2 linked regions of the Lytechinus pictus genome follow. Each later gene encodes a partner of the first gene's protein in a complex. Links are inferred from orthologs where the notes say so. Each region holds a gene or a part of one and is shown in the gene's direction. Other genes may lie near its edges.

The links.
Region 2: nuclear cap-binding protein subunit 1-like (region 1) and nuclear cap-binding protein subunit 2-like share a complex: the UniProt entries of both Drosophila melanogaster proteins name them as parts of the nuclear cap-binding complex. The link is inferred for Lytechinus pictus from reciprocal best matches to the Drosophila melanogaster genes Cbp80 and Cbp20.

What each region holds. Positions count from the first base shown.
Region 1 is NC_087249.1:29,004,052-29,011,495, reverse strand, and holds the start of nuclear cap-binding protein subunit 1-like, read left to right. Parts: upstream 1-4,434; coding exon 4,435-4,527; intron 4,528-6,335; coding exon 6,336-6,436; intron 6,437-6,841; coding exon 6,842-6,926; intron 6,927-7,444. UniProt on the Drosophila melanogaster protein: Component of the cap-binding complex (CBC), which binds cotranscriptionally to the 5'-cap of pre-mRNAs and is involved in various processes such as pre-mRNA splicing and RNA-mediated gene silencing (RNAi).
Region 2 is NC_087260.1:6,057,662-6,065,524, reverse strand, and holds the start of nuclear cap-binding protein subunit 2-like, read left to right. Parts: upstream 1-4,810; 5' UTR 4,811-4,900; coding exon 4,901-4,960; intron 4,961-7,521; coding exon 7,522-7,703; intron 7,704-7,863. UniProt on the Drosophila melanogaster protein: Component of the cap-binding complex (CBC), which binds co-transcriptionally to the 5' cap of pre-mRNAs and is involved in various processes such as pre-mRNA splicing and RNA-mediated gene silencing (RNAi).

The sequences.
Region 1 (7,444 bases):
GGGTCGTCATCACCACTTCCGGTTCAGAGTCATGCTCGCGCGAGGTTCGCGATGGTCGCAAACCCATTGCTCAATTTTTAAATTTGATATTGCTGATTGACAAAAATGAATGAATATGACTGACAATCTAACACTGATTCTAGGGAGGGTACCTACTGAACTTACTTTTTCCAAATTGGAAAGATATATCACCATTATGGAACTATATTTTTACTGGCGGAAGAATTAGGGTCATTTTACTCACTCAAGTGATGAATTTGGTCCCAGCAGGTGTAGTCTTCATAAATGCGGATTTATTTTCAAAATGAGCCGGTCGAGGTACCCTTTTCTGGTCAGATATGGAATGTCAGACATTTATCCTATCCACTGGTAGTAAACATTCAACCCTCAAATTTCCTCCTTATTTTTTATGAATTCTTTTTAAGTGCCACTTTAACACACGAGTCTATGGGAAATGAATTAGGCCTGTGAGCCCCGATACTGAGTTTTCCACCATGCTGAAATCGATGCCAATCAGCGTAATATGTACAGATTATAATACTTTTTATTTAATTTGGTCAGTTTTGATTCCATTTGAATTATAAATTTAAAAAATATATATATTTCACGTGAAAATAATTTTTATTCGTGTTTTTATTTGGTTATAAAAAATGAATATCTTAAAATTTTGCATTTAGCGACCGGCCTGACATCACGATCGTATTCGACCAGACGCTAAATATATACAGCCTTCATTCCGTTCAATTTTTCGTCGACCACAAAATGGATAAAAAATCAGTTTCGGAACTTAAAAAAATCTTAACTGACAGAGGAATACCGTGCAATGGAAAGCATCGGGCAGAATTAGTGACTTTAGCAGAAAAGGCCGTTAAACTGTATCGTGAAAGAGAGGGTTGTGATCAGTAGCGTACCGTGACTCGGAGGAGACAAAGCATTGGGGGGGGCAAAGCATTGTTCACAGACAATGCAGTGCCCCCCCCAGTGCTTTGTCTCCTGCGGTTCACGGTACGCTACTGGTTGTGATCACGAACTTTCCGAGCGAAAGCGACGTTGTGTTGAACTGATGGCACTGTTGATCTGAATGGCAAAACAGTGCATTGGACTTCCGAACAGGAAGTTGTGATACCGAAAAGCTATCCCATAATGCAATGCACGTTACAGGGATTTTCCCGGATCTCGGCGAAATCGCTATTTGGGGTAGCGAGAATTGAAGATGCAAATTTTGAAATAATATTTGTTTTATTAAGAAAATTGAATATGTATCATTATATGAATTAAATTTCCATCAGCTGCTTTAGACAAAATAAAATTACAGAGAGGTTAGAGGGGGACCATGAAGAATACTAGGGCCTATACGGCTTCATAAAATGTTTTAAATTCAGGGATTTATTTAATCTTTATTCTGCATGTCATAGGCCTATATATACATGTATATATATATTTCTTAATATGTATACAGTGCGTATAAAAAAAAACGGGACAGATTTTAAAAGTATATAAAATTTTTGTTTCGAATTATGATCTCTATATTTTGGTGTTAATAGGTGCTCTGAAGTCTTATCCTTCAAATGCCATTAAAATAATTTAGTTTCGTTCATGCTTGTTTTTGTCTGGGGTTAAATAGTAGGCTTGCACAAAAATGGCATAAAATGATAAATATGATGGTCGGACTTCTTGCTAATCGGCAGACTTCCTCTTAACCTTTTCATTATCTTTGCCATAATTTTCGAATTATGCGGTTAAAATTCATTTCCAAATCTACTTAAATTTGCTTGAATTGTTCTTTGGTTGTTCTCTTTTAGCTTTGAATATTCCTTCTTTAGGCAAGAACAATTTTTTTTAAACCGAAGTATGGGAGAGCGTGTTTTTTTCTTCAAATCCTTTCATTGTGTGCTACAAAGGTTATGGTGCCTTTGAACAGTGGCATACTGATGGGTGGGGGTTCGGGGTGCCCCCCCCCCAAAAAAAAAAAAAGGGAAATAACAGAAAACATAGACAGTGAAATATGATATCATTTTCTGAATAAAAAAAATGGATATTTAAATTAAAAAAAAATTGATATTTAAATTTTAAAAAGTAGAAAAGTTTGCTTGCTCGCTTCACAACTTTTTAATACATTTTACCAGATCTGCCATATCTTGCTCCTTCAAACTTGACTCAATACACCATTGCCACTGAAAGACATGAATCCTTTCCTGTTTGTCCTGTCAAGCACATAATTAAACTTGGTGAAGGATTCAATAACACCTTAAAAATAGGATTCATGTCTTTTATAGGTACCATAACATAATTTGTTTCACTTAATAAAAGGGATTTGCATAATTACAAATTCTCCCAATTAATAATGCAAATCTTCGTACTTGGGTTGACAAGAAGTCTTCTTTTCTTACTAATATGAAGGAAATTCCAAGGTAAAATAAGTTAAAATGAAAAACAAAATAATTCAGGTAAATAAATAAATTTGTAACTGAAATTTGACAGAATAATTCAAACATTATGGCAAAGATAATATTAAGATGAAGAGGAAGTCTGCTGATTAGCCAAAAGTCTAATCATCAAATTTCTCATTTCTGTCATTTTGGCGCAAGCCTCTTTTTGAACCCCCAACAAAAGCGTCCCGTGTTCGCTCAAGCATGAACAGAATTTATTTCTTAAAATGGCATTTCAAAGATAAGATCTCAGACCATCTATTAACATCAAAATATAGATATAATGATATGGAACAAATTTTTTATAGACTTTTCAAAACTGTCCCGTTTTTTTTATACGCACTGTATATACTGTACGTATATATACACACACACACACTAGCTTATTTTTAATATACTATATTTGGTCTCTCCGGCCGCTTGATCCTCGAGTCTCACACCCCCCCTCTCTAACATTAGATCTTGTAATGATCAAAATCAAAAGCCTGATTTGCAAAGGACTATATTTCCCCCGAAATAACAAAAACTAGCTAAATTTACTAGTTATAGAGATAAAATATATTATGGTCTACATTATGATTCTCGTCAATATTCTTTAATGGAAAAATAGCATCAGGCTCTCTTCTGATTGCCGAATAATCTGTTCTAAAGACAATCGGCCGTTTGACCCGCAATCACCATGCTCACTTTTCCCACAAAATCTTCCCAAATTTAGCCCCAGAAAACTATGAAAATATTGTGAGCATTGATTTCATACTTTCACTGTGCAATCATGGTACAAACTTTGTTCTATACCGGGTAAATCCAGATTCAGTGTCCAAAATAATTTCAATACGAAGAAATCAGACTTGAAAAAGCCTGGATTTTGAGTGATACTGCACAAAACATATGGCGTTGTATGGCTTTCTGAAAGCCGATTCCGCGTTTGCTCCCTTTTCATTTCCGTGATACTTTGATACTTAGCGACGAACGCTATTTGCGATAAGGTCTATGGCAATATGCCAATGGCCAATTGTGAAAGGACATTAGTCTATCAAAGTGCATGCCCGAATACCCCACCACTTTCCAAATTAAGCATACTGGTACTTGCCATAGTACTGTGTGTAGATTGTAGCCATTCAACATGGTGGTGGGGGTATTCTGCTTCTGCACTTACGCCAAAGCAATTGAATCTAACAGCTCTAGATAATTTTAAAAAGAGAAGAAAAAATGTGGATGAAGATCATGAAGATGAAATTTTGACAAAGATTGAAAGTTTGAAGTTGGATTAAGAAGACAGAGGTAAAGACATTAAACAAGGCACGACGTTAGCAGTGGCCCATGGCCACCAGAAATTTAACTTGGGCAACCATCATTGAAAAATGCTAAGTTTTGATGGCCCAAATCAGGCAACTAGTAATTTTTAAAGCATGGCCATGGTTCGAATCCCAGCCATGGCGTTATTTCCTTCGGCAAGAAATTTATCCACATTGTGCTGCACTCGACCCAGGTGAGTTAAATGGGTACCTGGAAGGAATTTATTCCTTGAAATGCCAACGCGCTGTAAAAAGGCTGCGAGGCTAAAGCCAGGGTAATAATATCCAATTTAGCGCATAGGGACGCATTTGGCAGTGATATGCGCTATATAAGCATGATGGTATTATTATTATTATTTAATGTCAAACTTTATGTTAAAAAATTCTTTTTTATTATTTTGTTTTGCTTTATGAATGCTAAAATATGGATGATTTTAAAAAAAGTGTATATTTTGTGATTTTAGATGGGGGAAATTGTCCAAAATGAAATATATCTGCCAATAGAATTTGGTGTGAAATGGCCAGATTTTTCATAACTTGCATGTAATATCATTTGTCAAATGTTTCTCTAAATTTTGTAGATGTTATTCATTTATTTTTCTGCCCTCAAGCTAACTTGTTCCATGATCCACATGTTTTCTATGTCATATAATATCAAGATAGAGATATCATCACAATCGTTTATATTTTATTTTTGTTATCGATCAGAAATGGATACTGGCCATAGGTCCAAACGACGAAGGCCAGACAATGCACAGATTGAAGAAAGATTGGAGTCTTTGATCACCAGAGTTGGAGAGAAGGTAATTGAATGAATGAATTAATGAATGAGTTAGAAAAATCATTTATATATATATATATATTTATACAGTGCGTCCCACAAAAAACGAAACAGAGATTTATCGATTTATCATAACTTAATCACAAATACAATAGACAAATGATCTACCATTGTAAAGCTTAGAATCTCCTCTTTCATCTGAAGTTACTTAGATTATTTCTCATTCATGCATGAGTGAGCAAAACAAAATTGAAAAGGGGATACCAAAAAGTCACTTGGCGGGCTGTATCTGGGTTTCACAAAGAAAACCACATTTTCAAAAAGTTCAATATCTGCTGCTTAATTTGATACCTCAATTACAGAAAATGGTCGAGAAGTAACAAAGTTCTGGTTATTTGAAATAAGGCTTGAATTTCAATAATTTCATAAAAATGAAGAGGTTTTACAGGCCAGCGTTCAAACTCACTCGACACTCTGTTTTGTTGACAATCAGCCATGCATTAAGTCTTTTGTTACCGTATAGCTTCTGTGGGAAACCGATGAAAACTCGTTCATTTAATGAAATTATGGAAATACAAGCATTGTTTCGAGGGAACATATCTTTTTTACTTCTTAACCATTTTCTGTGATCAAGATATCAAATAAAAGAGCAGATATTGAACTTTTTAGGCATGTGATTTTCTTTATGAAATTCAGATACTCCCGCCAAATGAGTTTTTGGTATCCTTTCTTCAAATTGTTTTTGCTCACTCATGCGTGAATGAGGAATAATATAAGTAATATCAGATAAAAGAGGAGATTCTAAGCTTTACATTGGTAGGTCATTTGTCTATTGTATTTATGATTAAGATATGTTAAATCATCGCTAAATCTCGGTTTCGTTTTTTGTGGGACGCACTGTATAACAGAGCTGATATGTTTTACATTCTTTGGTAAAAGGACTCAACGGAAATACTAAGTAATTGATTGTCATATTGTTAATTCCTTGATTGATTTCCTTTAATACTGAGTGAATAAAAGTAGAGAATGTTACCAGTGGTTCAGTACAAATTATACAACTCATACATCTTGTAATTTGATTGGTTGAAAGCCATTAAATGTTTGATCCATTTTGTGCTGCATGCAAATTCTATTTTCCATTGCACGGCGACAATGCATTTTTTATTTTTCCATTGCACGGTTGAGCTTTCTCCTTCAGTGTGTACCACTAAGCATGCGTGTCTACGTACATTTTGTGTGTGTGTGTTTGCGCGCATCGAAGTAAGCGCATCAACCAGGCTGACTGCGCGCACTCAGATTCATGAATCAAAGTGCGTCACAAAAAAACAAAAACAATTAACTGTTTTCATACCGGGAAAACAAAAATATTTTCAGAGAAAATGAATTGTCAAACAAAGGCAAAATATGTCTTAATTCCATCTGCTTGTGTTGATTTTTTTTCTTATCTATTGTAAAAAAACAAAATCTAGATAATTTGTTGTATAAACCAAATGATGCATGCCTTCATTCGTCCATTATGCGACCTATCCACTCTCGTTGAGGCTGTGTTCACCCCATTGCACTCAGCCTAACGGCTTCGTGCAATGGATTGAACAGAGCCTCAACTCGCGTGAGGATAGATCGCCTAATGAACTCATGTGCATGCATCATTTGTATAACATATCTTTCTCTCCCCTTTTTTTTGTTATGCTACTGTACAAATTAGTAATTTGTCCAACTTTCTGTTCTTGTAATGTAATGCTCTTTCGTTCTTTCAAAGATCTTCAAGAAAGTGTACTCACATTTATAGGAAATTATAGCAAAAATTAACTTTTTGTGATTTTTTTGTAGAGTACTTCATCGCTTGAGAGTAATTTGGAGGGGCTATCAGGGGTGTTAGAGGCTGATCTACCCAACTACAAAGCAAAGATTATCAAAATCTTGTGCGAATGGTAAGATTTTTTAGTTTTGTGTACATGCATCAACATGATATGAACATATTTTTTGTAGACAGTAGAATTACACAAACCCTTCACATCTTCTGACCAATACAAAATTAATTCCATTTCAATTGTTACTCTGATATCATTTCATGGGTAATTCAAGAATATAAAAGTTTATTCCTATTTCATGTTTTGTATCTTCCTTCTTGTGAACACTGAACAAGTATTCATTTGAAACAATGTATTAATACATTTTATACCTTCATGTAAAGATGTGAATGTTTGATAGATTCTATGTTTCTTTTATCTTGATGAATAAAAATCATGCAATGCATTTGTACGTAAGGCGGTTTTACATGTATATGGATTTTTTTTTTTTTAACCTTTTTTTTATGTGCTTTTTTTTCTATTTAGCGCTGTCGCACTTCCAGAGAAGATCACTGTCTACACCACACTGGTGGGTCTTCTAAATGCCAAAAACTTCAGCTTTGGTGACGATGTAAGTGAAAAGGGCAAATACACAAAACTATTTGACATCCATTGTGAACTAGATTTGATATCATTCAATCTTTTCATGCTAAACTCTAGTTGTATTTGCCACCAGTTATTGTACCCAAATGATTGATATTTAATGCAAGACTCCAATGCCAGACAAACTTCTTGTGTCAAAATTGTATTACACTTCCTTAACTTGATATTGTCAAAACTTATTACTCAACAATAAAAGGCAGTCTGTTTTTTTTAAACATGGTGAACTTCTAGTAAAATAGCGACTCACATACTAAATTGCTTGTTTTCAGCCAGACATGCACACTGTGCTATAGTTAAGGGTAATTAATGGGGCATCTTGTATACATTAAGTTAGGGGAGGGAACTGTTCTGAGGTCCATGAATAAAAAGGTCAACCAGAAACATGTTTGCTGACATCACACTCCCTATACACCACCTGTATAAAATAGTTTAAAATGCCCTGTAAACAGCTTTTTGTTGGTGTCGAAGAAAAACTATGGTAAAAAA
Region 2 (7,863 bases), on another chromosome or scaffold:
AAAAGGAGTTCTACATTCACACACACGCACACAAGCAAAAAACTCAATGCTATCACAGACGACACTAATCTAATCACAAGCTCAATCCATATTTTTTTTCACAAGTTGGCAACAACTTGGCTAAGAAAGTGCCTCGAGATAATAAATCCTATATGATTTCTTGTCAACCCCAATTCCATGGGGTTTTCTTTTAATTTAATCCTACTAATTAGATGGAAATTATAAACATTCTTAGCAATCTGAAGGTATGCCTAAGTTTATATGTAGATTGTCACAGCCATCGTTGATCCATTGGTACACATTTTCAATATCTTTCTAAGCACTTGACAGGTTCCCGGCGATAAAATGACACTTTCTAAAGTCAAACTATCGTTAAAAAGGTGATAACCAACTCGTTTCCAATAGCCGTCCAACATCCGTCCTAATCTTTTTTTTACTATCCAAAATTCTAGAAACAAATGAATTTTTCAAATAACAACGCTTTTTTTTTCAAACTTCCAGTTTGGATTCCGTGAAAACCATAGTAATTTCCATGCAATTTCTCTAAGTTAATTCACCACTTATACGATATTGGTGAACTGTCAGTATCATCCTTGAGTTCTCTAAGGCCTTTGTCACAATAAATCATGAAATTCTCTATACGCAAGCCTTGTCATTGTGGAGTTAGAGGGAAGGCCTTGGGAGTGGTTGATGACCTCACTGATTGGACGCAATTTGTATCAGTAAATAATTGCAATTTGTCTCCTCGTCCAATTATTATTTGTGGCGTCCCATGTAGTAGCGACCTTCACTCTTAAAACAAATCAGTCAAATTGACTAGGCCAGTAGTCATCTGGGTGCAACTGATAGTCACATTTCTGACATAATTTTATATTCTAGTCAGAAATAACTCTGTTCTAGTAAAATACGATTAGAAAATAGTCAAATATGACCAGAATAACAGTTGCACCCAGCTGACCCTATTAACTAGTCATGATTGACTAATTTTTTTTTCATAGTGATGGTCCGCCTCTTTTTATTACTTATAGTCAATATTTCCTTTTCCCATATATGTTTTTTCCTTGAAATTGTTTCTATTACAGGATTGTGGGGTGTTCATATTGATACGAAATTATTCGGGAAGTCTCACATCGATGATATAAGTATAACAATTACTAGAAACATTTGAATCATTTATAAGCTCAAACATTTTCTCCATTCTCGCACATTGTTTACACTATATTTCACCCTTAATTTACCATATATAATAATGGAATAATAATTGCATGGAAATATAATGCAACACTAACAATTTTGTATAGGATATTACTGCTGCAGAAAAAGAACGATTTTAAAAAACACACTTTAGATCACATACTGCTATTTGATAACATCCTTAAATGACATATATCTTGAATTGATCAATTCATGTTACAAAAGGAAAGGAATTTTAATGCATTTCCAATGAAGATTGTCATTCTTATAAATACCAAAGTTTTGACGTGGGCACGTCTTCTTCAAGGTTTCACTAACATAAATCAAATTGTGTTTGCGTCAAAACTTTGCTATAGTTCTAAAAATAAATATCTTCGTTGGAACTAAAATGCATTACAAGATCTACTTTTTATCATGCTCTATCTGAACCAACACGCAGATCACAATTTTCACTTCTGAAAGTTTATTAGGCAGAAAGAAATCTAACATAAGATCATTCGGACGGCAGGTAAACACAATTAAAAACGTCTGGAATTCTCAATCCTTAGATGAAAAAAATAATCGTACACAAAGGAATCGTGCCAGGAAGGTCAGGTTGCATTCCAAAAATCGTTGGGCAACATACTGTCCACACAACAATTGGTGAAAACTTTATAAAATTCTGGGTATTTTTAAACCAATCATGTGTGCTTTGGGTGCGTGAAAACTACTCAGTATTGGTTGAAAGCTACCCAGAGTTGGATAAATTTTTTAAACAATTTTTTTTATTGTTGTGTGGAGAGTATATGTTGCCCAACATTTTAAGAGTGTACATGCACTGTTAGAAAAGTTAACCTTAAAATAAAAGAAGTTCCTGCAGCACGGTCTCGAGAACACCTGTAATCTTACCAGATTGCGTAATCTTACAGAAAATTGGTATTTGGTGTATGGAACCTTACAAATTTCCTTAAATAAAACACCCTTTCCCCCTTTTTAAACAGACTTGTTCTCACTGTTAAATTGCAGAAAAATTCCTGTTTTATGAATTTACAGAATGATTCTGTTATTGCTTTCTGCAAAATCTTCTTTTTTTCTGTAAAATCAGGTTTTTTTAACAGTGTAGATAAAAGGCAAACCAGTATTAGTATCTTGGTCGGAGTAAGGTCGGGGTAACTCTGTCCAGACGGGCACTACTCCTACTTTTCCACCGGCTGGGCTTCCTCCGACCAAAACAGCCTTTGTCTTGGTCTTGACAAGACTGGAGAAATATATTTTGAATTTTAATCCATGCGTAATAGAAGAATTCCATGTCTGAACGAGGCTGATAATGGCAGTGAGCGATGATTTCGAGAGAAATGTCAAAATAACCACACATGCACACCCATCCACCCACAAACACACCCTTACACACACTAACACACATTTTCCCCGAATTTGAGGGAAATATTAAAGTACGATTTTCCGCAGTTACACCAGATAAATACTAGACACATAATTATCCCTTATAGTCCAGTCAAAGTAACACAAGTAATTGGTAAATCCATATTAAATTGAAGCAGAAACGGTATTTTTGTTGCATTGAACTATTATTTTAACCATATTAACATACAAAATGTATAAGAAAGTCGAAGCTGTGGACAATGTCTAATCGATTTTTTTTTTGGGGGGGGGGGATTTTTTTATTTTTTTTTTGAAATTCAAACTTTACCATCATTACAGATGCTTAAGAACGTGTTCCTTTTCTTGAATTGTATAGGAATAAATATATTTAAAAAGACAAAAAATGACAAGAAGCGTGTTTTTCCTCTTACTAGTATATTTCAAACAAATTATAGGGTTGGAGCGCCATCGGTGCTCAGTCCTATTCCCCCACCTCTCCATATTACACATGATTTAAAGTTTCTAGAAAGTCACTGCACACTATTTTGCAGAATCTTTTCACCAAATGCAAACCTCTCGCACTATGAAATTCCTTTGAATAAGAACTCATATATTATATTATAATCATGTTATGTTATATTACATATGACATATTTTTTCATAACTTTATGAAACATAATTTGCTCAGGGCCTAAGTCTTTATTGTTCCTGGTGCTCGCATTGTCTTTTTAACGAGATTTATAATCCTGTTGTACTAAAGCCTCCCGTTTTCAAGTCAATATACACCAAATATACTTCGAGTTATTTTTGTTTCATGTAGTAACATGCTTCTTTTTCATGACTTCTTAAAGTGATTGCCCCATTTTAAGGTCTTAATATAAAACATTTCCTGTGCGTGCTTACGTTCGCATTAGAGGATTGGTGAAATATGTCTGATCTTCATGAATTCCTAAAATCAGTCCTTAAAGTGTCACTTTTTCTGATCTGAATATAAAAAATTTCAGCTCGCGCTTCGCGCTCCAATCATTTGGTTAGTGAAATACGTATGGTCTTAGTGCATTCCAACAAACAAGCCTTAGAATGCCCTCTTCACGTCTGAATTTCCTAAATTTTCAGCTCGCGCTTCGCAATATTTGATTAGTGAGAGGTGTATGATAATCATGATTATAATGACTACAAAAAGTGTTTCATGTGTTTAGATGTAATTCTAACAAAATCAGCAAGCGCTTGGCACTCGCATTAGATGACTATGGTGAGATATGTATACTCTTCGTGGATTCCTAAAGTATAGTCCTTTAAATGTCCCTGTTTGGGGTCAATATATAAAAAATTTCAGCTCGCGCTTCGCGCTCGCGTTGTTTGTTTAGCGAGACGGGTACGTATCATGATTACAAAAAATTGCTTATAATGTCCCAATTTAGGTCTGAACATCAAAAATTTTCAGCTCGCGCTTCCTGCTCGCAATATTTCATCAATGAGATACATATTCGTTTAATGGCACTGTCCTTAAAATGTTTCTATTAGGTCAGTATACCTGGCAACAGTGACTCAAAATTTTTGCTTATGCCCCCCCCCCCAATGCCGTGACCCACGGTACGCCACTGGCCCAGTGGATTAGTCCCCTGAACGAGGGTCATGGGTTCGAATCCCAGCCATGGTGTGGGGTTTTTTTGCAAGAAGTTGATCCACGTTTTGCTGAGCTCACTTCCCAGGTGAGGTAAATGGGTCTACTGGATAGAAATGTATTCTTTAAAAACTTAAAGGGATGGTCCGGGCTGAAAATATTTATATCTGAATAAATAGAGTAAAATTCACAAAGCAAAATGCTGAAAATTCCATCAAAATCAGATAACAAATAACGAAGTTATTGAATTTTAAAGTTTATCAATATTTTGTGAAAACAGTTTTATGCACATCGTCATATATATATATATATATATTGTTCTCCTGTTTTAAAACCAAATTATCGTCAGGGTGAACTTCCACTTTAATCTTTTAAAGAAAGATTTTGGCAGGTCAATACAATTAGAAACTGCATGGATTGGACGCCGACGTACGCCACCCCCCCCCCCCCCGGTCTGGCCCCTAGGTTATGATCATTGGTTTCCAATTATTTCAAATCTGTTCTGTAAGGTAAACTTTATGGCTGTATGGGTTTGAGAGATTAGGTTTTAAATATTGAAGCATAAATTTACAGCATCTGTTGTTTGCTTTTCCCTCACTATACAAAATAAAGAAGGTGATCGCTATAGCGTTTATAGCGTAGAGGGCGTTTTCATTAAAAACTAATTGTTGGCGTTTCGCTTGGAACTTTTCGCTCTCTGGGACTGGCAGAAAAGTACCGAAAATGGCTTTAAAATCAGACCGTATGACTGAGCTTAGTGCCTATAGAGACCAGCATTTTAGGGTATGATTTTTCATGATTTCTTTAAACTGTCAAATTGTTTGAATTTAGTTGATAACACCCTGTAAACTGACCCCTTGTTTCGTTTTTTTTTTCGTTTAGGCCTATGGCCTACACAACCCCACGCATTCACTTTTACGTTGCTTCATTCGGCATCTGGCATGGCATTGGGTGATTTCAAGTTCGGTGTTGGTGTTGAGAGCGTAAAAAGGCCGCTGAACCGAGCTCCAACACCGAGCTGGGTTCAGAGGAATGATACCGATTGCGTTATCGATAGTACATGATGTCACGCCTCTATGCTGCGCTGCTAAATCATCTCAACTTCACGCGAGAAGTCTCGACGACGAAAATGAAATCGGAGAGAAATTCATGAAATTCTCATCACACAAAATACCAATTGATGCTTTAATTAATTCCAGAATTCAAAAGAGTGAACATTAATTATTCGGCGCTAATGCAGTTTCGCACCGGCCGATTACCAGCATACCTCATCACCAAGGCAATACTTGTTCCCAAATGTCATGACAAATCTCTCACTCTCACTCAGTCACATTTCGAGGTCAATATACCCACCTCTTCCAAATATCGCAATCGGGAACGGCTGTATTTCAGCTTTGATGTCGTTGTTCAAATCCTCAGACAACACTTCGCGGATCGCTTGGATTCGCAGTGCGCCGTAATGTTGATATGGACTGAAGTCATGCGACCAAAAGATTCGCCTGCAGCATGCTGGCAGTTTGTTCGCCACATGTGAGCATGATTTGGTTGCTAACTTCAGTCCATATCAACATTACGGCACACGGCGAATCCAAGCGATCCGCGAAGTGATGTCTGAGGATTCGAACAACGACATCGAGATCAAAGCTGAAATACAGCCGTTCCCGATCGCGATATTTGGAAAAGAGGTGGGTATATTGACCTCGAAATGTGACTGAGAGACTTGTCATGACATTTGGGAACAAGTATTGGTGATGAGGTATGCTGGTAATCGGCCGGTGCGAAACTGCATTAGCGTCCATTATTCTTCATCAAAATATATAAAGCTCAGATTATTTGTATGATAGGGTGTCCAAACTTCGCGGACTTTTCAAAAATATTCTTCAGGCTTAAACAGGGTGCTACATAACTTTTTTGAAGCTCTTGCCCAGTCGGGCAAGTAAATTTTCAAATTTGGAAAATACTTGCCTGAATATAGATTTCACTTGCCCGAAAAAATCCTTCAAAACAAAGTTTTATTGCTTCAAAACAAGTTATAGGCGTACGGTTTTACATACCATACCATTGACGGCTTTATTAATATATTTTTCAACATGACTACTGATGTACCTTGTAGCTGTATTTCTTTTTTTTAATGATTTTTATCTTGTACATCATGACAAAATGTATGGTCAATATGCTCTTTAATTTATTTCCTAATCTCATATATTTTCCATATATTTTGGAGGGGACTAGGACACACAATAAAAAAGGGGAAATCACTGAAAATAACCAGAGAAAAAAAAAGAAATTAAGAGAGGGGGAGAGAATGAAAGAAAAAAAATAAGAAGAAAGACAGAAAGGAGGAAGAAATAAAGGAAGGAAGAAAGTAAAAAAAATAAAATAAAGAAAGAAAGAGAGAGAGAGAGAGAATGGCTGCGGGGAAGAGAAAGATGGAAAGAAAGAAAGAAAGAAGGGTAAGAAGGAAGGAAAGAAAAAAAACTGAGGGGAAGAGAAAGAAAGGAAAGAAGGAAAGAAAGGAACGAATAAAGAAAGAAAATTCAGGTAAAAGGAGAGAAAAAGAAAAGGTAAAGGATGGATGGAAGGAAGAGAAAACGAGAGAAAGGAAAGAAGAAAGAAAGAAAAGAAAGATAGAGTGAAAGACAGAAAGAAATGAAGGAAGGCAGAAGGGTCATTCCATGCCAATTCACCCAATGAATGTGCAATTTTGCACCCGACCCTCTCAGAATTCGTTGTAATTTGGTACACATAAAATTCACCATGGCCCACGCACAAAACAAAAAAAATAGTCCAATCGGTCCGTCGGTTCTCGTGCTACGGCCCGCCCTTTTCTCCTTGTTTTGACAAAAATGGGCGTGACCTTCAACTTTCAATGGCCATTGCGTCGTAACGTGTTGACCAATTTTCACAAAACTGGTACCATTCAAAAGGAAATTCAGAGAGGAATCCAAAACATGCATCAAATAATGAATTGGAGCGATTTATAAGGTCTTGACCTTTACTTTGACCTTGAGTTTGACCCCCGGACAAATAATTTTTTTACTTGATTTTCGTGTATGTTAATTATTAGTATGATAGTGACAAAATATATTAAATCCAATGATGATATTTTATTTCTTCACATTTTAAAACTCTTCCAAAGATAGCAATTATCTGATCTGAAATTTCACTCTAGTCCCACATACTGATATTCATGTTAGTAAAGTGTTTACCAGTCCCATGATGACTTTAATTCTTCAGACAAATGGCCCGATCTGTGCAGGATGGAAAATTAGATGATTTAAAGAAAGAGCAACAGAGAGCAAGGCATTTAATTGGTAATTATTATTTATATGAATTCATTGCAGGGCTCTATGGACCAGCAAGAAAGGAAGCTGAAAGACTCATGCACTTTGTATGTAGGTAACCTGTCCTTCTACACCACGGAGGAACAAATCTATGAGGTCTTCTCGAAGTGCGGTGATATCAAGCGTGTTGTTATGGGGCTCGACAAGGTCAAGAGAACGCCTTGCGGTTTTTGCTTCATAGAGTATCCTTTACACAAATCTATGTAATGGTGATGTTAGACAGTCAAATTTTATGTTTGGTATATATGAATTTAAAATGAGTCAAGAGAACATTTTCAATTTGATAAATTCTTGTAGACAAAATAACAAATCATATATTTCATGTTGTGGCATTACTATTTT